Linked DNA regions of Mytilus edulis. The protein of the gene in region 2 interacts with the protein of the main gene of each other region in a pairwise test. Links are inferred from orthologs where the notes say so. Each region holds a gene or a part of one and is shown on either strand. Other genes may lie near its edges. The genes, in order: calcipressin-2-like and protein phosphatase 3 catalytic subunit alpha-like.

The links.
Region 1: the proteins of protein phosphatase 3 catalytic subunit alpha-like (region 2) and calcipressin-2-like interact in binary tests that used the Caenorhabditis elegans proteins (3 or more experiments, as listed by UniProt). The link is inferred for Mytilus edulis from reciprocal best matches to the Caenorhabditis elegans genes tax-6 and rcan-1.

The regions. Positions count from the first base shown.
Region 1 is NC_092353.1:62,868,319-62,880,510, forward strand, and holds the start of calcipressin-2-like, read right to left. Parts: upstream 4,840-12,192; 5' UTR 4,674-4,839; coding exon 4,458-4,673; intron 1-4,457. Other genes in the region: methylosome protein WDR77-like, read left to right, coding at 5,142-5,199. UniProt on the Caenorhabditis elegans protein: Inhibits tax-6/calcineurin A phosphatase activity and thereby negatively regulates calcineurin-mediated functions.
Region 2 is NC_092352.1:34,310,312-34,322,332, reverse strand, and holds the start of protein phosphatase 3 catalytic subunit alpha-like, read left to right. Parts: upstream 1-6,056; 5' UTR 6,057-6,203; coding exon 6,204-6,252; intron 6,253-9,426; coding exon 9,427-9,627; intron 9,628-12,021. UniProt on the Caenorhabditis elegans protein: Calcium-dependent, calmodulin-stimulated protein phosphatase. Dephosphorylates arrd-17. Dephosphorylates daf-16 at 'Ser-319' which regulates daf-16 nuclear translocation. Dephosphorylates calcium permeable cation channel pkd-2 at 'Ser-534'.

The DNA.
Region 1 (12,192 bases), on a different chromosome or scaffold from region 2:
TAAAAATTCCTATTTGCCAATGAAGTTTAAATGATCTGCGTCCTCAGAAATACACATGTATTTTTCCATCATAAAAGTAAACCTTTAACCCCGAGAAATATATAATCTGTTTCTCTCTAAATTTACAGAAACATTATGTGATAAATTTTTGAAAATTCCTTATATCTCAATCGATTAATGATACTAGTAGTTCTGTAAACTTCTACATATATCACAATCTGTACCTCAATACAACCGTCCCTCACACTTCACGGATTATACAACGATCAATTAATGATTGAACGTCGCTCACGCATAACGGATTATACAACCGACCTTTTAATAACCGTCGCTCACGCATCACTGGTTCTATCAATGACTCAATACACACCCGTTTTATCGGACAAACGGATAATTCCCTGAGACACGGAAAATCTCCGGAGAACCGCAAAATATTCTGTAAAACGGAAAATTTACGATGAACCTCTATTAATTATCCGTTCCGCGCAGATTGTCCAAAAAACACCGATTTTTTTACAAAAATCACGGTGATTTTCCAAATAGGTCTGCCAGTGATAGAACTGCCAAAAGTTTAAATCGACAGGTAACTTGCAGGTGAATCTATGGAAAACTATCATAGGGTTCGCTATAATTATCTTCTCTTTGATTTAATTTGCATGTATATACAATGTACATGTAGTATATATAATACTGGAAAACAATAAATGTATTTATCTTTATTGATATTTGTCAACAAAATAATTCAATAGATCACTTTCGAGTTTATCCGTCACCGGAAAAAAACTTGTCAATTATACACGCCTTTATGACTCATTTAGGGTACATTCAACAGTTTTTCCTATGACGTCATATTTGAGGGAACATGTATAAGTGACCCTTAGTGGTGGACTGATTAATAAGGATACTTGTATAAAACTAGATATCACTGGAATCAGAATGTTCTCTAGTTTATAAAGGAATAAAAAAAAGTGTACTTTTAATAGTATAAAAAAGTTTTATCCAGAGAAACTGGGAAAAACATTGCCTAATTTAAGCTTGAAAAAACCTGAAATCAGGTTATGTGCACACCCCTGAAGACATGATACCTGCACATTTTTCATAATCAAAATTGAATGAATTTCATAGATTTTTACCTGGTCTTTCAAAAAATTTGTGTTTCAGGATATGTTCACCTGCTCAAAAAAGAGCTACAGAGGCTGCTAAGTTTTCAATTTTCACTGCCAAAAAAACAGACTGTTTACAGTGTTGTCTCCCCTCAAAACATTTATATTTAATCTAATTTTTTAAATTATTTTAATCATTCAACCTGCTTTAATTGAAGTAAATTAACATATTTTTACAACGAAATACAACCAGATGCTCTGCAGGACGCAGCTTTATACGACCGCAGAGGTTGAACCCTGAACAGTTGGGGCAAGTATGGACACAACATTCAAGCTGGATTCAGCTCTAAATTTGGATTGTGATTAAATAGTTGACACAGCATAGGTTTCTGACACAGAATGAATGTGGTCTAATGAACTTAAAATATTTTTTTTGCCTTTGAGCAATTCACTATGCTGTTGAATATTAATCCTCTCAAAAAAATGTTTGAAGAAATTTTCTTTTTATTTATAAAATCTGAAATGAGAAAAATTTACCCCCCCCCCCCTCCCCCTCCTTTTTTTTCACATCCCCCATTCCCTTTTTTCAAAACTGATCTCAATTCAAATTTCTAATGGAGTTTGCAACAATAATTACAACTCATTTAAATACATCATAAAATATTAAAATGTAAAATAAAGTGCTTGTTATCACTGAATGGTAAACATGGTAAAGAGTGTTATAATTTATCAGTTGGTAGTAAAAGTGAATATACATTGTATATTGTATAAAACAATGATTTAAGTTGATTCAACTACTATTCTAGACAAAGAAAGATAACTCCAATTGAAAATTTCTTGCTATTGCACAATATTGTGCAATTAGATACTTCTTGCTATTGTGCAATACTGTGCAATTAGATACTTCTTGCTATTGTGCAATACTGTGCAATTGAAAATATTTGCTATTGCACAATACTGTGCAATTGAAGATTTCTTGCTATTGTGCAATACTGTGCAATTGAAAATTTCTTGCTATTGAACAATACTGTGCAATTGAAAATTTCTTGCTACTGCTGAATACTGTGCAATTGAAAATTTCTTGCTATTGCACAATACTTAATATAATAATTTTGGATCCTGATTTGAACCAACTTAATCAAAAATCTAAGTACATGTTTAGTTTCAGCATATCAAAAAAGCCCAAAATTCAAATTCTGTTAAAATCAAACTTAGTTTAATTTTGGACCCTTTGGACTTTAATGTAGAACAATTTGAAAACAGGACCAAAAATTAAGAATCTACATACACAGTTAGATTTGGCATATCAAAGAACCCCAATTGTTCAATTTTTGATGAAATCAGACAAAGTTCAATTTTGGACCCTTTGGGCCCCTTATTCCTAAACTGTTGGGACTAAAACTCCCAAAATCAAACCCAACCTTCCTTATATGGTCATAAACCTTGTGTTTAAATTTCATAGATTTCTATTTACTTACAGTATACTAAAGTTATGGTGCGAAAACCAAGAATAATGCTTACATGTAGCTGGGCCCCTTTTTGGCCCCTTAACTGTTGGGACCAAAACTAACAAAACAATCCCAACCTTCCTTTTGTGGTCATAAACCTTGTGTTTAAAGGAGTAGGTCCGGTAAGGACCGATTTTGGCCTCAAATTTCAGGTTCATCTGACGAAAGATTTTGACCCCTTTTTAAACACTTAAGTGTCTATTTTATTTGAATTAATTAGTTTATGTGAAAGATTTTAACAGATATAGTCATTAAAAACGATCCGATTCAAGCTCAAATATGAAAAATCTACCTAATATGCCAAAAAATGTCACTTTTCAGATGGTTTTTGGTAAAAATGAAAGTGGCCGCATCCGTGTTCATCCTCAACCTTTATATGTGTTATGTATTATCATAAAATACAACTTACATTTCAATATTAAGGATGAACACAAATGCGGCCACTTTCGTTTTACACGAAAACCGTCTAAAATTTAACTAAAATGCTAGAATTATGAGGATTTTAGTAATTTAGCATGACTTAATGGTGCTAGTACCGGATATATGTGCATTGAATTGTCAAAAACAGCCCATATTTATGTAGCAGAAGCATTCTACTGTCCAATAAATAACTAAAGGTTTACATTTTAACAATTTTGTAAAACTGCTATATTTTGGGGCCAAAAAGGGGTCTTACTGAACCTACTCCTTTCATTGATTTCTATTTACTTATACTAAAGTTATTGTGTGAAAACAAAGAATAATGCTTATTTGTGCCCTTTTTTGGCCTCCTAATTCCTAAATTGTTGGAACGAAATCTCCCAAAATCAATCCCAACCTTCCTTTTGTGCTCATAAACCTTGTGTCAAAATTTCATAGATTTCTATTTACTTAAACTTAAGTTATAGAGCGAAAACCAAGAAAATGCTTATTTGGGCCCTTTTTGGCCCCTAATTCCGAAAATGTTGGGACCAAAACTCCCAAAATCAATCCCAACCTTCCTTTTGTGGTCATAAACCTTGTGTTAAAATTTAATAGATTTCTACTCACTTTTACTAAAGTTAGAGTGCGAAAACTAAAACTATTCGGACGACGACGACGACGCAGACTAATCATTTGCTAATGACAATTCCCTATATATAGCTAGTGACAGCAATGCTGATTGTCAATTTTGAGGATTCAATTTGCCGAATAATTCGTACAATATAGCTCACCATTGGAATGGAAGTGACGACGCCCCTAAACGCACAAATGATGTTCACTAAAACCAGAGTTTTTGACGGAAATGCATCGACGTTCACTCAAACCCGAGTTTTTTATAATACTGTAGCAGTAGAAAATTCAATAAAAAAAAAAAAAATCGGGAAAATTTTCCCAGAAATTTTCATTGTACTAATGAACTCAATTTTTTTGATGTCATGTTTTGAATTCCTGGGCATCTGGGCAGAAATCTACGATGTACTTCCTCTTTCCGGTCTCGTTTGTATGAAACTTTTAGTAAAATATATATTTATCAGTCTTAGTAGTATAACAAAGGAAGGTCAACGCAATACCAATTTCATTTTTAATAATTCCTTGATATATAAAAATGTTACCTGATGATAGCGTTTCTTTGTTTACATTGCATATGACGTCATAACTTAAATAACGTCACAACTTAAATCCCTAACAACAGAACCAAAATTGGAAACGTTACGGTATTTCCGTTTCTTTTTTTAACAAATATTCAAGTTACAAAAAAAATAATTCATACAGACTTCGTCCCTATTCACAGGTAATGCATGAATGGATCTGATGCCAAACTTTATATGTATAACTATGACTATAATTAAAACTAACAGCTTCCAGCAAAAATTGAGTATCTCACCTTTGCATCTTCATCATCAAATACACATTCAGCAACGTTAGTGACAATTAATGCATTTGGCAAGTCTGTAAATGTATTGTCTTCCATAAACTCCCTTTCCATGCTGGCGCCGGTGCCAACATCCTCGGCATGACTGATATTATCTTCTATTTCCATTATATCCCATCGATTGTCAAGTCGCTCTGGTTCAATTGACTCTTTCAATGCTTTTGGCATGCTAAAATAATGCACTATGTGGGTCAACACGACTGAAGAATCAAAATACGAAAAAAGTACATGACGTCAATCTGTCAAACTAGATTCATTAAAAATACGAGATCTTTACCTTTTTGTCGTTTATAAAAACATGAATTTTAGGTCAAATTTGAAGCATCGTTATGACTCAGACTTTTAGGTCTAGCACGTTACCAAATGTCAATTTGAAACCAAATACAATACAACGTACCAAAACAGTTGATGTCGTAACTTATAATAACATTACCTTTTGGGGTTTTAAAAACACTAAGTAATCAAAAAATATTTCTGACTGTCTCTTTAAAATGGTAACTTTTTTATTTTTATTTTAAATAACTTATAATAAAAAAGTGATTCAAATTTCGCGCCCATTTCCGGCAAACAGTGCACATGGTTTTGGTTGACGAATTTTTCTTATCCGGAAAATAAACAAGCTTCGGTTGAGCAGTGATGGATCAAATCCCGGCCGCCATGGATAGACAATTAGATGTGATTCAGTGTCACACAGGTTTGTAGAAATACTAGATAAATCAGACACAACTGACTGTCCATCAGTGAAAACGTGTTTCATGGTTTGACTTTGTTACCTTGCACATATCACAGTGCTTTGTTTCCCTTTTCTTTCTATTTGAATGCCACTTTTAACTTTTTCCATCGGGTTATAAAGATAACAATTACATGTATGTATTATAAATACACGTGGTTATTACAAAAAATAAAAAAGAGTAAAATAGTTGTGTTAATCAATTTAATTATAAAGTTATAAAATCAGTAAACATAATTTATTAACCCTTTCAACGCTACACAAAAAAAATGAAAAATGGCTGCTGCTGCTGCATTTTTTTTTAGTTCATTCATTAGAACAGTATTTTCCTTTTCAGACTGCTGTATCTTTTTTATTATATGAGATACAGAGAAAGTTATTGCATGAAAAATGATCAGGAGAGCATGAACTGTAATGTTAGGCAATTATTTTACTGAAATTTTTGTCAGATTACCTGCGTTTTCAGGTAATTAACAGGTAAAAGGTGTAATTTATTACATTTGTGTTGAATTTTGAATAAAAACTACTTTTAGTCTTCATTTATTTTGTTGTTTTATCTGCCATATTGTAAAGAAGACACCAGTTGCCCGATTCCGTAGCGTTTTGTACCATACATAACGTTTTATGTAATCGTGGCACAAATAAATAGCTCCGTCCTAAAAAATTTCAGTCAACCTCCGTTTTCCCCCCTTTTTCTACGTCTCGTAATGATCGATCAAATCATATTTCCCACACGAATTTAATGTAATAAACACATTGAGATAACAAGAAACCTTTTAACTAATCCTCGTTGTTAGTTTCGCCAAGGAAATGCTGAAATTTTTCCATATTTACAGCTTCGTTTCCGATTTCCGCCATTTGCATTTGTCAAAATATTTGTTTTTATTTTCCTTCTATTTTCCTTCTACTGCATGATTTTACTATAAAAATTGTCGGGATTTCAAGCGCAAAAGAGACCTTGCATATCCTAGATTCAAACGAGGAAAAATTAGAGAGAACCCGAATGAAAACCGAATGGTTTAAGAGTCCTAATGAAAAATCCTTTTTCATCGCCGCGAATAGCAGTGGCGAACGGCGTACGTCATCGCGGCATATGCCGTGTATAGCGTTGAAAGGGTTAATATTATACACGATTTCCCCAAAAGTGATCCCATCCAGACATTTTTGCCAGATAGATTAAAAAAACATGTGCATGTTTATTTTTTACCAGAAGTCATTACTATAGGAATCCACTGGACATTAACAATCGACAGTCCAATACTAGAAGGAAGTTTGCTAGTCCAAATAATTATGACATCTTGAATTGGACAGGTTGGGAACAAACCCCCTGTATGGTGATTATACCTGTATAGAGGGATAATCCTTCTTTAGAGGGATAAAATTCTTCCTCTATAGAGGGGTATTTTTGTTTGCACTGTATTTAAAGCAAATTAGGGCAGAATGGCATTTTCTAGTTATATTGGCTATAATCTCTAGCATTATTGTAATAACTGGCCAAACAGGTGTCTTTTACTTTGCTGCCACCACCTGTGTTTACAGGTACACAGGGAACCTCAATAGACTAGAATAAGCTAGTCTAAAACAGAGAATGGTTTAAACACTGGTGTTCTTAATATTACCAGGCCAATAGGGTTAAAATACTTCTGACACATTAACTTCACTTTATATTTAACAAGAAACTCAAATTGCGAGAACAATATGGGTAAAGAATATTCAAATACGTAATAGTCAGTGTATCTAAACGCACTTTCTATCGTGTAGTTTATAGAACAGCATTACACTGTCAAATAGAGGCTGCACCTCTATAACCTGGAATCGCATATAAACTAACACTCAAGAAGTGGAAACTTCCAGGGCAGTACCATCAGACTATTCCACAAATGAATATTATCTATCTGACAATCGAATAGTCTCTTGTCTCTGTCTAACAAGAAGATCTATTCTCTCACGAGACAGTGTAATGACAACAATCAGAGACCAGTTGGACAACTATGCAGTCAGGAGTCTACTTTGTCAAAATTATCTCCCCATTACGCCAGTTCATTTTCACAATAGTAGAAATGGAAGCCATTGTAGGGATGACACGCTACCAATATTGCTCTTGGAAACCGATAAATTTATCAACATTGCACCATTACGATCCTTATATGTCAGTTGTATTTTAAAAGACAAATGTATCAACTAGCTAATGAGCATCAGTTAATAATCTTGTCTGCATTGATTCAACTTAAAACTATTGTCTGATCGGTTGTCAGGTGGAATTTTCGAAAATTCATAAACATTTAAAAAAATTCTAATTAAATATTTTGTGGAAGGGCAGACTATATTTTTTTAGTGTATGAAGACTATAAACCCTAGTAATCACACACAAAAAATTAGAATTTTTCGAAGATATGCATTTTCATCATCCAACTTGAAAGACTGTCGTCAAGTACTTTCAGTAAAAAAATAGCTATTCGAACACACCTTCTCTGTTTTTGTCACTCATTAGATAGGTATTTCACTTGACCCATATATTTCATCTTTTAGTACTGTAATTTTTTTGTGTTATAAAGTCAACCTGTAGCTTTAATATATAAAAATGATAGAATCTGAAGCAAGACGATGTATGAAATATTCTTATTTTGTACGATATCAAGACAAAATACTCAACTCAAACACGCCCTAACATAAAAAGGTGCACTCGATTTTCTCTTTTCGATACAATTGTTACCCATTTTTTGAAATTTTTTCTTCAGTCACTTAATGGAAGGGCAGACACGAAAATTACTGAACTAATAGATTGATATGTTTTCCGTCCGTGGTAAGGCCAAAAAAAAAAATAGGTGTGTTTCCTGTTGCATGCCCCAAAAAATTAGGGTCGGTAGGTAGGTACTTTTTTTTTTTTTTTTTTTTACTGGCCTGCTTCGGTTGTTTTTTGTGTATTTTTATATAAATCAGTTTGTTATTCTTTCAGGTTATTTTCATCAGTTCATTGTATAAAGTATACAAGATATGAATAGTCCATGTTCAAAAGTTGCAGAAGACTTGGCCAGGACTTCCAGCTTATAAAATTTTCAAACTTTTCAGAACTGATATGCCATCTGTACGGGTCAGGCTATAGTCTTACACAGAAAGCCCATCAAAGTCTGTCTCAGCAAAGACCTGTTTTATAATCAGTTTCTTTCAGACAATTTAGTTCACAGAACTGATGCCAGCTTTTCTACAAATACCAAATTATTAATAACATGATAGAGGGATGGGTGAAAATCTTTGAAATTTTGATTATATACTAGCTGTTTAAAAGAAAATCAATTACAAATTGAGTTTTGGGGCTATGTAAATTCATTGTTCTTTAATCCAAAGTCATGATACTGATTGAATATATCAATAAAGGTGGTAGAATTAGAAAATGGGGCTATTATACTTTTTTTCTCGTTCCTGTGTGGACACTCATCGATTGTTATTGATAACACACTTTGACTGATGGCCATAGCAGAAGCCATGCCGTTGTTTGACTTCAATCTGTATCACACAAATGCTTACTGTATTAAAATTTTATTTGAAATCAAACGTTTAAAAGATGCCATTCAAAGGCTATACTAAACAAAAACCGTTTCCGGAAAAAACGAAAAAAATCCGGATTTTTTATTTTTTTTTTTCCGTGGAAAAAAAGTTAGGGTCGGCGCCAAAAAATTAGGGTCGGTCGGGTGACCGGAAACACACCTTTTTTTTTTTTGGCCTAATTTTTTCATAAAAATCGGAGGTTATGAATTTTCTTCATCCAACTTGAAAGATACCCATGTCGTCGACTTGATATCTAATTGTTCTGCTTAACTATGTACTAGATAAATTGAAAACTTATGCAAATGGTGTTTTTAAAATAAAACACCTCGTAATTGAGAAGAAAATTGCAACCTTGTTTGTTTCTATTAACTTTGTAAAATGTTGTCACTATAGTAAACAATACAGTAAACATTTATCGCCTTCTCTAACAAAGAGCTTCGATTCTTTTGTTCTATTTCAACCTGGTTTCCGACTGTATGGTGTATTATGTGTTATCAGCAAGGAAAAGTAAGATAATTGTGAGCATAAAGATGTTTTATCAGTTAATTCACGAATTGTTCAGTAAACAATATTACACAGTTTTTATCTAAATTATTTGCTACAGTGTTCAACCAACTATTCAATATGCTATAACATTAACATACATGTATATTATATCTATGCCATCTTCTAATAAATTATACTTTAAAAATAACAGTACCTTGTTATATTATCTAATAGACTTCAGCCTCCTGGAGTAAGCACAGGAAGACAAACTTCAATCACTGAGATTGAGAGTAGTTAAACAGTAATTATTCTAGCTTCTTACAATTCTTAGCCTAACAAATATACAGAATTTACAAATATTCTCTCTGAATGCTGGAAAATCTTTGCAAACAGGATACTTTACAAAATGGGAGGGGAATGGGGAAGGCATGTAACTTTAATCCGTTTACCTCAAAGAAACAGGTTAGCAAATGAAAGCTAGCCTGAATAATAAATAGACCAGCTATTTATATGTACATGTACAATTATATTAAATCCATTTTTATACGACCGCAAAAATTTATAATTTTTCGTCGTATATTGCTATCACATTGGCGTCGTCGTCGTCCGAATACTTTTAGTTTTCGCACTCTAACTCTAGTATCAGTAAATAGAAATCAATGAAATTTAAACACAAGGTTTATGAACACAAAATGAAGGTTGGGATTGATTTTGGGAGTTTTGGTTCCAACAGTTTAGGAGTTGGGGGCCAAAAAAGGGCCCAAATAAGCATTATTCTTGGTTTTCACACCATAACTTTAGTAAAAGTAAATAGAAATCTATGAAATTTGAACACAATATTCATGACCATAAAAGAAAGCTTGGGTTTGATTTTGGGAGGTTTGGTCCGAACAGTTTAGGAATAAGGGGCCCAAAGGGTCCAAAATTGAACTTTGTTTGATTTCATCAAAAATTGAACAATTGGGGTTCTTTGATATGCCAAATCTAACTGTGGATGTAGATTCTTAATTTTTGGTCCTGCTTTCAAATTGGTCTACATTAAAGTCCAAAGGGTCCAAAATTAAACTAAGTTTGATTTTAACAAAAATTGAATTTTGGGCTTTTTTGATATGCTGAAACTAAACATGTACTTAGATTTTGATTAAGTTGGTTCAAATCAGGATCCAAAACTATTATATTAAGTATTGTGCAATAGCAAGAAATTTTCAATTGCACAGTATTCAGCAGTAGCAAGAAATCTTCAATTGCACAGTATTGTTCAATAGCAAGAAATTTTCAATTGGAGTTATCTTTCTTTGTCCAGAATAGTAGTTGAATCAACTTAAATCATTGTTTTATACAATATACAATGTATATTCACTTTTACTACCAACTGATAAATTATAACACTCTTTACCATGTTTACCATTCAGTGATAACCACAAAATGCTAAAATGAAGATTTTACTATGCCCTTTTCAAAAATTTAATAAAAAGTATGGGTCTATGTGCTATATTTCAAGCTATGAGTCGTTGAAAATTGTCTAAGTTTGGTTACTTTGATCATGAAAAGACACATTAGTGTGCATAAAAAATATTCTATGAGATAGAATTTTGAAATAAATTGTGAGAAGAAAGGTTTCATAATATGTTTTAAGAAAATATAAAGAAAACATGGTGTCACCGATCTTGTTTTCTTGCTACAAGTAAAAATAAAAAAATTCCCCGTTAGCCCAGTATAAATTTTGTACTAAAAGAGTTATCTCCCCTTAAATGGCTCATTTGAAAAAAATGATTTTTAAACCCAAAAAATTGATATTTGTTAAAATATTTTGTATAAAACAATTAATTAACAAGTTTTCTTCAAATAGAAAAAAAACATTCTAACAATTGAATTGCAAATCTGTCTCCAAATTTGCAGATTTAGGCAAATATCTAGACCGATTTTGTACCAGTGGCGGATCCAGGGGGGGGTTCCGGGGTGCGCGCCCCCCCCTTTATTTTTGCCGATCAATGCATTTGTATCGGGACATATGTTTTGCACCCCCCCCCCCCCCCCCCCCTTTGCCCTGGGTGCCCTGGGTTAGCACCCCCCCTTTCGAAAATTCCTGCATCTGCCCCTGTTGTACTGTGATTGTACAATCCAAGATGGCGGTATACCATGAATCTACCTTACACAACTTCATGTTTTACAATGTTATTATATTTGCGTCATTCTTGCATAACTTAAGAATCTTAAAAGTGCCAACTTTACTACAATGTATTCCCAACACTTGTTTGAGTTTTCATTTAATTCATAATACTTGTGTTGCATACCATTGCATTTGCATAAGTTTATGGGGACTACAAACCATCGCTTAGAGAGCAAAATTAATTTGGAGTTGGTTGTCAAACTGAATAGAGAATTTCTCCATGGTTTTACTGTTTACTGAAAATAGGTTTTTAAAGTAGCAATGGCATGTAGAACAGTCGTTGCAAATCAGAGATGTTTATTCAAGAATTATGAAAAATATGTACGATTCTTTATACATGTTTACACATTTACATGGTATAAGCTACATTTTGTAATTATAACACTTACATATATATATATATGAAGTTCACGCCACAAGAAGGTTTCGAATTAAATAAAATTTAAAAAATAAAATCCTCCCACCTGCCCCATTTTTTTCAAAACTTTGGATGAAAATCTACTAATTAATTTTAGTTGGACCATAAGAGATACATATTTTATATCTACATTGCATGGAGGTGTTATTTATACTATATTATTAGTCCAAGCTATTACAATAAGCTTTAATACTATAAAAGCTCTTAGCAACATTATGTCGCCCTGTTCTCTACGATACTCGTTTCAGTCGCTTCCGTCATCGAACATTTTCAATTTTTACCAAATTGATGAAACATCAATTTTTTATTGATAATTAAAGAAATTCAGACATAAACG
Region 2 (12,021 bases):
TTTATTAGCAACAAGACGTGTATCAATTTGGAGCATATTATATGCTTCTATTGTAGCGCACTTGCACGAGTCCACATTGTTCCTTATGGGTCAATGTAGAAAATATGTAGATATCATAGCTGTTTTGTTGACTTGTTCCGTTCAGATGATTCGTTTGCAGAGTTATGGTAATTGGACCTAGGAATACACGTATGTGCTTGATCATTTTGTTCCAGAACAACGAAATTTTAACCGCGGTAGGGGACGGTGAATTGCCATGCAATATTATCACATCAAGGTATATAGGGATGATTCTCATAAACAAGTATCTATTAGTATATGTTTGTCTTTTTTACGTAGCTTTAATACTTACCAGGGTATCTCTCGATCCTTACTAGTATAGGCAAATAATGCGTCCATCTCACGTTGTTTGGTGGGGTTCGTTTTGATAAATCTTTTGCTGTTGACAATTTGGTGTATTTTCTTCTACATTCTTTAACAGTGTATGTTTTACCTAGTTTTAATTTTGTCTTTTTTAGTTGATTTATTTGTGAATTAGACTATTTATTTATTTTGAGATATATATTATTTCAAATATATAGACTTCGAAGATACAAAAAAGTACAGATTTTAACTGAAGAAATTGTGTATAGAAATGGGGAATATGGCAAAGAGAACGCAACCCAACCAAAGAGCAGAAAACAGCCGAAGGCCACCAATTGATCTTCTACACAGCGAGAAGATCTCGCACCCGGAGCCGTGCTTCAGCTGGCCCCTAAACAAAAATGTGTACTAGTTCAGTGATAATGGACATCATACTAAACTCCGAAATATATAAATGACCTAAAGTTGAAAATCATACAAGACTTACAATGGCCAGTTATTGTTTGTTTTTATTATTACAGTGATTGGTCTTTTATCTAAACTGAAACCATTTTAATGTTACATGCATGAGGTATTCAGTAAAACATGTTGACATCGTTTAAAGAACAATTGCGTCTTGGTAAACCGATTTGAAGAGTAAAAGCAAATGCATACATGAATAATCATTTTACTAAAACTTCATCAAATATTAAAGATTATATTTTGCTAGCAGTAATGAAATTTCATTTGTTATCCTTGATGAAAAATCGATCAAATGTTACATTAACGGTAACTTCGTAAAAGGTTATCATTGATAAATTCATATAGCGTTTATAGAAACATAACATAAAATATCAAATGACATGGGGTTTAAGTATGTACAAGCTTTAAAGTTCTCATATATCGCTCTTTATTACAACACCTGCGAATTCAGAATGAATAGAAATATATACATGCGACACCATCTATTACTACACAAGAACAATAATGTATATCAACAAAAACTTGAACTTGCAGCCGCGATCTTCTATCTTCCGCAAATAGAGGGTATTGATATTAACACAAAAATTAAGATGAAAAAAATCGTCTATTACAGCAGAATGACCTGAGTGTGTAGGAACAGGTAATATCGTTGGTTTGTTTGCTTGCTAGCTGAACCTTGAATTCTTTATTAGGTTAGGTATACTACCCTCCCTTAAACGAAGACTATTCCAACAGATAACCAATATATTTGTCTGTAACACTAGACTCATACGAAAGGTGGGTAGTATACCTAACCTAATAATAATGTCACGGTTCAGCTAGCCAGCAAGCTAGTCAAAGATATGACCTTTACATACACGCTCAAGTCAGTTTGATGTAAATCTTTCCAGGACTGCATGCACTGCACGTGTATACGTATCATAACAGAAGTACTATATTGGATAAACAAATCCATCAGTTTTGAATTTTATCTTTGTGATACATGCATATGGACTTACACGTCATAATTATTAAATGCTACTAGATATAAACAAAATATGATTTTTGTATGTTCAATTATAAATAAAACAAAAACAAAGAGTGGCCATGGCCGTGTACTTGAACATCCCAACAACAAAAAGACACTATGAACAGATCTGAGAGTAGTCGAATTTAATAACAGCTAGTTCAAAGCCATACAATGGGCGATGGTTTCGGGCTACCGATCCATTTCGGCATGCATATTTTTTATATACAATCATGCATTAAAATTCAAAAATAGTGTATATATACTATACGGCAACCTCTAAATGAAATGTAATGTGAAGTTAACATCCATTTAATCGCTTATGAATTTTTACAAGGCTTTTTAAATTAGTTTAAAGAGAGAAAAAAATACAGACTATTTAAACTTTTTAGCTGCATTTTTGCGTAGTTCGGTGGATTAATTTAATGAAGTGGGCAAACAAAATGACACGTTGTAGACATGTCGTAGACCGGTAAAAATATAAATAAAAAGGTATCAGTCATAAATATTTTTTTTCAATCGAGTGTTTAATGTCAGGCATGTTTGCACATTTTTCCAATTCCAGGCGAAATATGTTTCTGATATATTCTGAATTTTCAATATCATAAATAATCTATAATAGATGTCTATGTACTATAGTATATTGCTGGATAATTTATTTAGCCAGGTTTCTCTATATCTTTGTAATTTATATCTATCAAATTGCATCATTATGTATATTAAGACTGTCTTCAAATAGTTGAAAAGAAGAATAAAAATAGTATGATATAAGGTTAGGTCCCACCTCTTCCATAAAAACAGACAATTCCATGAAGTGAAAGAACGACGAAAGGACCAACGATGATAACAAAACATAGCATTGACATTACATATATCAAACAATTGTAATTTAAGGCATTATTTTATAATAAATGAATTGAAAATTTGATAATAGCTAGGATCATAAAATTGAGAATGGAAATGGGGAATGTATGGCAATACATTAAAAAAAAAAGCACAGTGTCTTGCCATAAAAATTGAGAACTATTTATTACAAATTAAACAACCACAAAATACTGTGTTGAAAATAAGAAAGGTGTACAGTGATGTTCAAGGACAATGGACAACCTCCGCATACTGTAGAGACACAAGAATCGGTCACGTGGGTATAAAATTGTGTACACTTGGACATCCATAGTCTCAAAATAATACACAGATAAAGGAGGTGACTGTTTTGCAGTTTTTTACATAGTCATGTCTGATCGGATTGCGATCATTTCTTTGAATCCATTATCCAGTTTTCAGACAATGAACAACAACTTTCTTTCTTTTTTCAGTTGTCCTTTTCGACCTACTGTGTCCATATATAGAACCTACCAAGCAGTTTAACATGTTATCTATGATTCTTCCTAAATTTGGGTTGAATATTGTACACTGGACGTATAAAAGTAACTCCTTATTACGTTCTAGCAGTATAAATGGAGTTGGAAAATTTATTCAGTAGTCATTACATCTTTCGAATTAGCAATACTTTGATTAGACGGAGCAAGAGAGACTAAGAGAGAACGAAGTTATTTCGCAGTCTCTGCAAACAGTTTCATTATGGAAGTATTTTATAGGGAGGAAGATAAAGCCTTAATCATTTTCTAGGTATTCCAAGACTCATACTTCTTGTAATCAGAAAGGGTACAAACAAAATTATGTGTTCCGAAACTGTCAAATTCGTCATATTTTATTAGTGTTTATGGCATCTGTACACTACATCTAATTTCTTAAAGCTTTTAGAGTAAAACTTTGGTTGGCTTGCTTACTTTGTTTGCATAAACGTTGGCCTGCGCTTTATACTTAAGATTGACATCTTCAAACAATTAGATAGTATAGTTAAATTTAATTGGACGTTACATTACTATTGTACAATATTCAAACAAGGCAAGAAAGCTAACCAAAGTCTTGCTCTACATGCAATGTGAAATTAGCTATAAATCCATTGGAAGTTGGGTGTGTAATGATTGATAACTTAGTTTTAGATGCAGGACTATTTTTCCTATTTGTTATTGGCTTAATTTTAACTGCGAGAACTTTTAAATCTGAACTAATTGTCTTTTTGTTGTTAGCATGTATGAGAACCAGTCTACGTCCACTCTGTGTTTTTTAATTGATGTATTTCTATTTGTAGATAAATATAAAAAGATGTGGTATCAGTTCCTATGAGACAACTCTCCATCCAAGTCACAATTTGTAAAAGAAAAACCATTAAAGGTCAAAGCAAGGTCTTCAACACGAAGCCTTGGCTCACACCGAATAGTAATTAAGCTATTATGAAGGGCCCCCGAAAAAGACTAGTGCATTTGATGAGTTTAGCCCTTTTCTACTGATGCCTTCAAACTAGTTTAACTCCGAAACGTTTTGTTTATATGTGCATGTCCCGAGTCAGAGGCTTGCAATTCAGTGGTTGTCGTTTGTTGCTGTGATACATTTTTTTCATTCATTATTTTGTACATGAATTACTAGCCGTTAGTTTTCTCGTTTGAATTGGTTTACATTTGTCATTTCGAAGTCTTGTATAGCTGACTATGCGGTACGGGCTTTGTTCATTGTTGAAGGCTGTACGGTATTTTTTTCAGGTAAAGGCAATATGTACAAATACAAATCAGTTTTGGAAACTTAGCTATAAATACTGACACCTTAGAAAAAAGTAAAATAACAATAATACTGAACTCCAAGGAAAAATCAAAACGGAAAGTCCCCGATCCAATGGCAAAATCAAATGATAACACACATCAAACGAAAATATAGCAATGGTTGTGATTATAAGTACCTCTAATGCCTTAACCAAGGTTAGGATGACCCATGAAAGCAAACAAGCTTATTTCCAATTGGGTCCTTATAGTCTTGACAATAAAATAAATAGTTTATCATTCAATTTTACAGCAATAAATAGTATTTATGAATTCGCATCTTAAAACATTTATATAACAAGAATGTGTCCAAAGTACACGGATGTCCCATCCGCACTATCATTTTCTAAGTTCAATGGACCGTGAAAATGTTGCAAAATCTCTAATTTGGCATTAAAATTAGAAAGATCATATCATAGGGAACATGTGTACTAAATTTCAAGTAGATTGGACTACAACTTCATCAAAAACTACCTCGACCAAAAACTTTAACCTGAAGCAGGACAGACGGACGGAATAACGAACAGACGAGCGGACAAACGAACGGACGCACAGACCATAAAACATAATGCCCATAAATGGGGCATAAAAAGAGATCTAATAAAATATCTAAAATGCATCTGACATTGATCTGAGTTTACTCATTAGGTGTTTTTTTAACTTCAAACTTGTTAACATGAATACCTTTTACGTCGTCTGTCTGAAATCATTCCACCTTTTTATACCATCAGCATAAAAAGAAGAATTAAGATTCTACACCTTTGACATTTGGAACATAACTTGAAATTGTAATCAGTTGTTTAATATTCCTATTTGAGTAAGTTCTTGAAAGTCAATTTTTACAGTATTCAGAACATTTGTAGTGAAAAAAAACCCATTCAAATGATATACACTAAAGAAATACTTTTCGTTAAGCACCACACATAATCCATGGGGCGGGAGTGTCTCTTCCTCTTTGGCTCGGAAGGCTCGTTTCCTTAAACCGCGTGCCGCTTTATATAATCGGTGTCTCTTTTTTGAGACTGCTATTGTGTGATAGTAGTCTCAGCTCTTTTTGATAAGTCAATTTAATATGTCAATGGGTTGCCGTGAATTTCACCAAAGTAAAACTATGATAGATCCAGTCAGTAATTTTCATCTCAGTTTTAAAGATGTATTTTTTTTAATCAAATCAAGGATTTGTATAGTGAGACACTATACAAATCCTTGATCAAATTAAGATGTCAAAGTAAGTATAGCTAGTACTGAGGGCTAGTATCGCATACTTAGTTTAGTTTAAATAGCATTTATCAATGAAAAATTACAAGAATAAAGTATTATTTAATATACAATCATGTTACATGAAATTCAACTTGGTCAACTATGGGATTCGGAAACAAGGTTGGAAAAGTTTATATAAATCCGTCTCTAGCATCGCATACTTATTCAGTGTCTGTCGTTTAAATACACATTTTATTAATATGAATCGGTTAAAAACATATTCTATCTAAATAAATAGATTTGTTAATCCAGCTCGCCATACTTTTGCAACATTGACACCGGGCGTTGGCAAGGTTGCGCAAATAAATGCGCAGCATAGTATTTTGTATGCAAATAAGATGTCGTTAACGCCATCTTGATAAGAATTGTTTACTATTATTGAATCGGGGCATATCGACAAAAATAAGTGCCATCTAAGGCACATTTTAAAGTTATCACCTCTATAAAGCCCCAGGATGGCTTCCACAGATCCTAAGTTGTCTACAAAGGAAAGAATAGTAAAGGGTAAGTCAATGGCTATCTCCGTTCAATACACAACAATATTTATGTCCGCCATATTGCCTGTCGGCCATGACTGCAAGTGATACTTTTCCGTTTATTGATGGTATTTTTGGCAGTCCTGACTCTTTAACAATTCATTATACTAAATTTTCTATGTGCTTACATATTTTGGTTATCAAGCGTTTCTGCATATACACTGCACGTCAATGTATCTGAATACTGACGTCTGCAGAGATTCTGCTACCGTTGCTGCATAAATTTAAAGGGAGACATTTTCATAATACCCTTCCTTTCTGGTCATATTTGAGCGACTTACGTTAAGGACTTTACTAAAGTTTTCTTTACTATACATTTGAAGTTCAGATATTTTTCTAAACAGTATATAAGGTCATTCATTGTTGCTATTTATAGTATTTCATTTTTGGTCAGCTGAGGATTGTTTACACTACATGAAAAAGTCCTCCTTATTGTTCTCCTTGCATTCCTACATGTACACACACACACATATTGTAGATGACAAGTAGCAACTGTAGTTATTGTGTTGTATGTTGTATATATACAGTATTTTTTATGAATAAGGGGATGTGCAGTTATGATTGTCAAATGCACCTTTATAGCTATTCACCTTATCGCTTATCCCAGGCTGACCCAGCCGCTTGAACTTTTGACGCATCCAACAATTACTTTTCCATTGTGGCGTCAGATATTTTGTTTTATGACATCAAAATTTTACGGAACCTGTGTGATATCCCGTAATGGCAGACAAATCGGATAAGGTGTGTTAGGAAATAAACCTTATCGGTAATCCCGGCTGACCCAGCCACTTGAACTTTTGACGCATACAACAATCACATTTCCATTGTGATGTCAGATATTTTGTTTTATGACGTCAAAATTTTACGGGAACTTGTGTGATATCCAGTAATGGCGGACAAATAGCGTTAAGATGTATCTGTCCCTGTTGACAAGATAAAATGTCCCCCTTGAACTATTGACATCATACATGTACATCACAGTGCATTGTGTCAACATGTATTATATAAATATCACATAGCTGAGAGGGTGATAGAGCAGATTGGTTTGACAATGTTTTATCGGGGTACCAATCTGCTCTATCACCCTCTCAGCTATTTATTATTTAATTTTATTATACTGAATGCCTATCATTTTAGTCTTTTTAATCGATTAATTTTATTATAACCCTTTCAACGCTATACACAGCATATGCAGCGATGACATACCCCCTCCGCCACTGCTATTCGATGACAATGGATTTTTCATCAGGACTTAAACCATTCGGTTTTCATTCGGGTCCTCTCAGATTTTTCCTTGTATGAATCAAGGATATACAAGGTCTCATTTGCGCTTGAAATCCCGGCAATTTTTATAGTAAAATCATGCAGTTGAAGGAAAATAAAAACAAATATTTTGACAAATGCAAATGGCGGAAATCAGAAACGAAGCTGTAAATATGGAAACATTTAAGCATTTCTATGGCGTAACTGACAACATGGATTAGTTAAAAGGTTTCTTGTTATCTCAATCTTTATTACATTTAATTCTTGTGGGAAATATGATTTGATCGATAATTACGAGACGTAGAAAAAGGGGGGAAAACAGAGGTTGACTGAAAATTTTGAGGAAGGAGCCATGATTACGTAATATGTTGTGTATGGTGCAATACGCTACGGAATCGAGTAATTGGTGTCTTCTTTATTATATGGCAGATAAAACAACAAAATAGATGAAGACTAAAAGTAGTTTTTATTCAAAATTCTTAAATTACACCTTTTACCTGTTATTTACCTGAAAATGCAGGTAATCTGATAAAAATTTTACTCAAATAACTGCCTAACATTACAGTTCATACTCTCCTGAGCATTTTTCATGCAATAACTTTCTCTGTATCTCTTATAATAAAAAAATACAGCAGTCTGAAAAGAAATATATTGTTCTTATGAATGAACACAAAAAAAATGCAGCAGCAGCAGGTCAAATAATAAAATCTGAGCCAAAACCTAGAACTTAAGCATTGTATTTAATTATTTGATGTACATTCAATCCATTGTCCTTTAAACTATCTATTTTGATTGGTCTAGACGAGGGGGTTACATTAAAAAAAATGGTCACCCTCTCAGCTATGTGATAGAGTAAATTAACACCCTTGTATCAGCCAATCAAAATATGGCATTTTTACGTGAAGTATAATAATTTGTATTGATACGTCAAATTTTTAAGGGAACTTTTGTGATGCCCAGTAATACACCTTATCGTATTAAACACAAGTTTGATTGGTTTAAGTTTTTGTTACAACTGTCATCTAGCCAATCAGAACTCGTGTAACATAATATGTATCATCTGGGTCCCTGTTTAAACAGAAGAAACAGAAGTCAAGGATAACAGTATATATTTTGCGGGGGAAATGTTTTTGCTACTATCTTTTTTGATGGCTTGATTCAAAGTTGCCACAGAAGGACTACTTGCACAAAGGGAGAGTTCTATTGAACCTGGTCTCGCTAAATACGACTCTAACTCGCATTTGGTGAGTCGGTGAGCAGAGGTTTTACACACTGAGTCATCCCAAATGTAATGAAACTTATACACAATGCTTAATATCACAAAACATGGATCAAATTTGAAATTTGGTCGCGTCACTTTTAATGTTATAGAGTAATGCTCCTTTACAATACATCTTATCCCTATATGTCTGCCATTTATACTTGACTTTAAAAAATTATGCCACAAATTAAACCAAATGTTACTTTGTTGGCAAAGCCTGTGATCCTAGTTCATTATTTGAGTGCCAGTGCAAACTTGGAAATGTTTTGTCTGATACATGAAACCTGAAGTTATATTTGTCTCAGATGTCTCCCTAATAATCTCTCAAAAATCATGGTGATAAAGAATTCTACCCTTAGGTATAACCTGTGGGAAACACCATTTTAGGAGGGACTAGCCAGAGTTTCTTTTACCTTACACAACATCAATAAGAGTGAAACAGCATGTTTATTTATCACCTGATAGAACCAATGAATACTGACTGGTATAATTTATAAGGGAAGGGATAAGTCCTCAACTATTTTTGCTTTCATTCCTCATATATATGATAGAAAGTTGTGTACATGTTCTATACATTGTCAACTTGGATTTGATTTATTTTGATATTATGATTTTTAGGTGTTCCCTTTCCACCAAGTCACAGATTGTCAGATAGTGAAGTGTTCGACAGTAAAGATAAACCAAGACCAGATGTTCTCAAACAGCATTTTATTTTGGAAGGAAGATTACAGGAAGAGGTTGCACTTAAATTAATCAACAGGGGAGCTTCCTTGTTGAGGCAGGAAAAAACAATGATAGACATAGAAGCACCAGTCACAGGTAACTACAATATTTATGTTTATTAATAGTTAAGATGCTTGTTGTATCCGTGCATGGTTTAAAAAAAATAAATCCCTAGCAGCAATCTATTATTGACAACACCATTGGCACAAAAGGAGTAGGTCCAGTAAGACCCCTTTTCGGCCCCAAAATATAGCACAAAATTGTTAAAATATAAACTTTTGGTAGTTTATTGGACCGTAGAATGCTTCTGCTACATAAATATGGGCTCTTTTTGACAAGACAAAGCACATATATCGGGTACTAGCACCATTAAGTCATGCTAAATTACTGAAGTCTTCACAATTCTAGCATTTTAGTTAAATTTTAGACAGTTTTCGTGTAAAACGAAAGTGGCCGCATTCGTGTTCATCCTTACAGCTTTTACATTAATGCTAGCAAGACAAATCTTTGTTCGGCTTGCTTGCTTTGTTTGTATCAATGTTTGCTCAAGCATGGTAATTAAGATAGGCGGGGCTTCAGCTTGTATACATCATTCTTAAATTTTATTGGACGTTATGTTGGAGGTTAAGGACACTAAATTTTAAAACATCACATGACACGTATTCTCTCATGTTTCCTTATTTGTAAATATACAATACAGACAGGATTCTACTTCGTCGAAATTATTTTCCTATTTCGCCAGTTCATTTTCACAATCGTAGAAACGGAAGACAATTTTTTTTTCAGAGATCCAAGACTGTCGTCAAGCACTTTTAGTCAAATAGCTATTCGAACACACCTACTCTGAATTTGTGATCCAATTAGATAGATATTTCACTTGACCCCTATATTTCATCTTTTAGTACTGTGATTTTTTTTATGTTATAAAGTCAACCTGTAGCTTTGCTATATAAAATGATAGAGTCTGAAGCGAGATGATGTAACAAATACTCTTGTTTTGTACATTTTCAAGACAAAATATTTTTCTCAAACACACCCTAACATAAAAAAAGGTGCACTCGATTTTCTCTTCGATACAATTGTTTCCCATTTTTTGGAATATTTTCTCGAGTAGCATAATCGAAGGACAGACATGGAAATAACTGACTGAACTAATAGATTGATATGTTATAAAAACAATATTAGGTCATTTAATGTTGAAGGCCAGTTTCTCAGCCTCATACAAGTAAAAAGTTTATATTTTTCTTTCATTGACAAATTATTGTATTTTTACAGGTGAGAATATTTGTCATGTGATGTTTTAAAATTAAGTGTCCTTAACCTCAGACATAACGTCCAATGATTTAAAGTATGATGTATACAAGCTGAAGCCCCGCCTATCTTAATTACCATGCTTGAGCAAACACTGATACAAACAAAGCAAGCAAGCCAAACAAAGATTTGTCTTGCTAGCATTAATGTAAAAGCTGTAATATTGAAATGTAAGTTGTATTTTATGATAATACATAACATATATAAAGGTTGAGGATGAACACGGATGCGGCCACTTTCATTTTTGACAAAAAACATCTGAAAAGTGACATTTTTTTGCATATTTGGTAGATTTTTCATATTTGAGCTTGAATCGGATCGTTTTTACTGGCTAAATCAGTTGAAATCTTTCACATAAACTAATTGATTCAAAAGAAATAGACACTTAAGTATTTAAAAAGTGGTCAAAATCTTTCGTCAGTTGAACCTGAAATTTGAGGCCAAAATCGGTCCTTAAATGGACCTACTCCTTTATTGAAATCCCCCATTCTTATTTTCTAAAAGGGTTGAAACAACGCCACAGACTATTAGTTGGCACATACTTGATTTTTCTTGTTGTCCGGTCTTAACCCTTTCAACGCTATACACGGCATATGCCGCGATGACATACACCGTCCACCACTGCTATTCGCGGCATATGCCGCGATGACAACGGATTTTTCCTAAGGACTCTTAACACTTTCACTACTGAATTTATTTTTTTCGCGGGATTCCCTGGCCGAAATTTATTTGCACGAGCCGTTTACCTGACCGGGATTAATTTCACATGTGCTTCAGCAAAAACGACCTCGTAGTTTTGGTCATTGAAAACTCGGGAACCGTAGCGAGTTGTGCGGTCAAATTTTGATAAAATGTAGATAAATATCATAGGTTGAGCGTCCGTAACCTTTTCATAGAGTGAGAAGCAGTTTACCTTAAAAACGCGTGTCGAAAGCGTAAATTGATTGAGTCGGAAGATAATTTTTGGATTTGCCTACCGTATATCACTTTCACTTCCATTCGGCAACATTTCTAAAGCACACGTGTGTTTCAAAATTCTATTTCTATAAGCTACTGAATTATTTTCTTTCAAAACCCGTTTCCGTTTCCTTGGCAATAATACTTGTAAATCGAGACTGTCGTTCACGTAGATTTTGGCCGCCATTTGTTTACGGTTTCGAAAGAAGAAAGATAACTCGG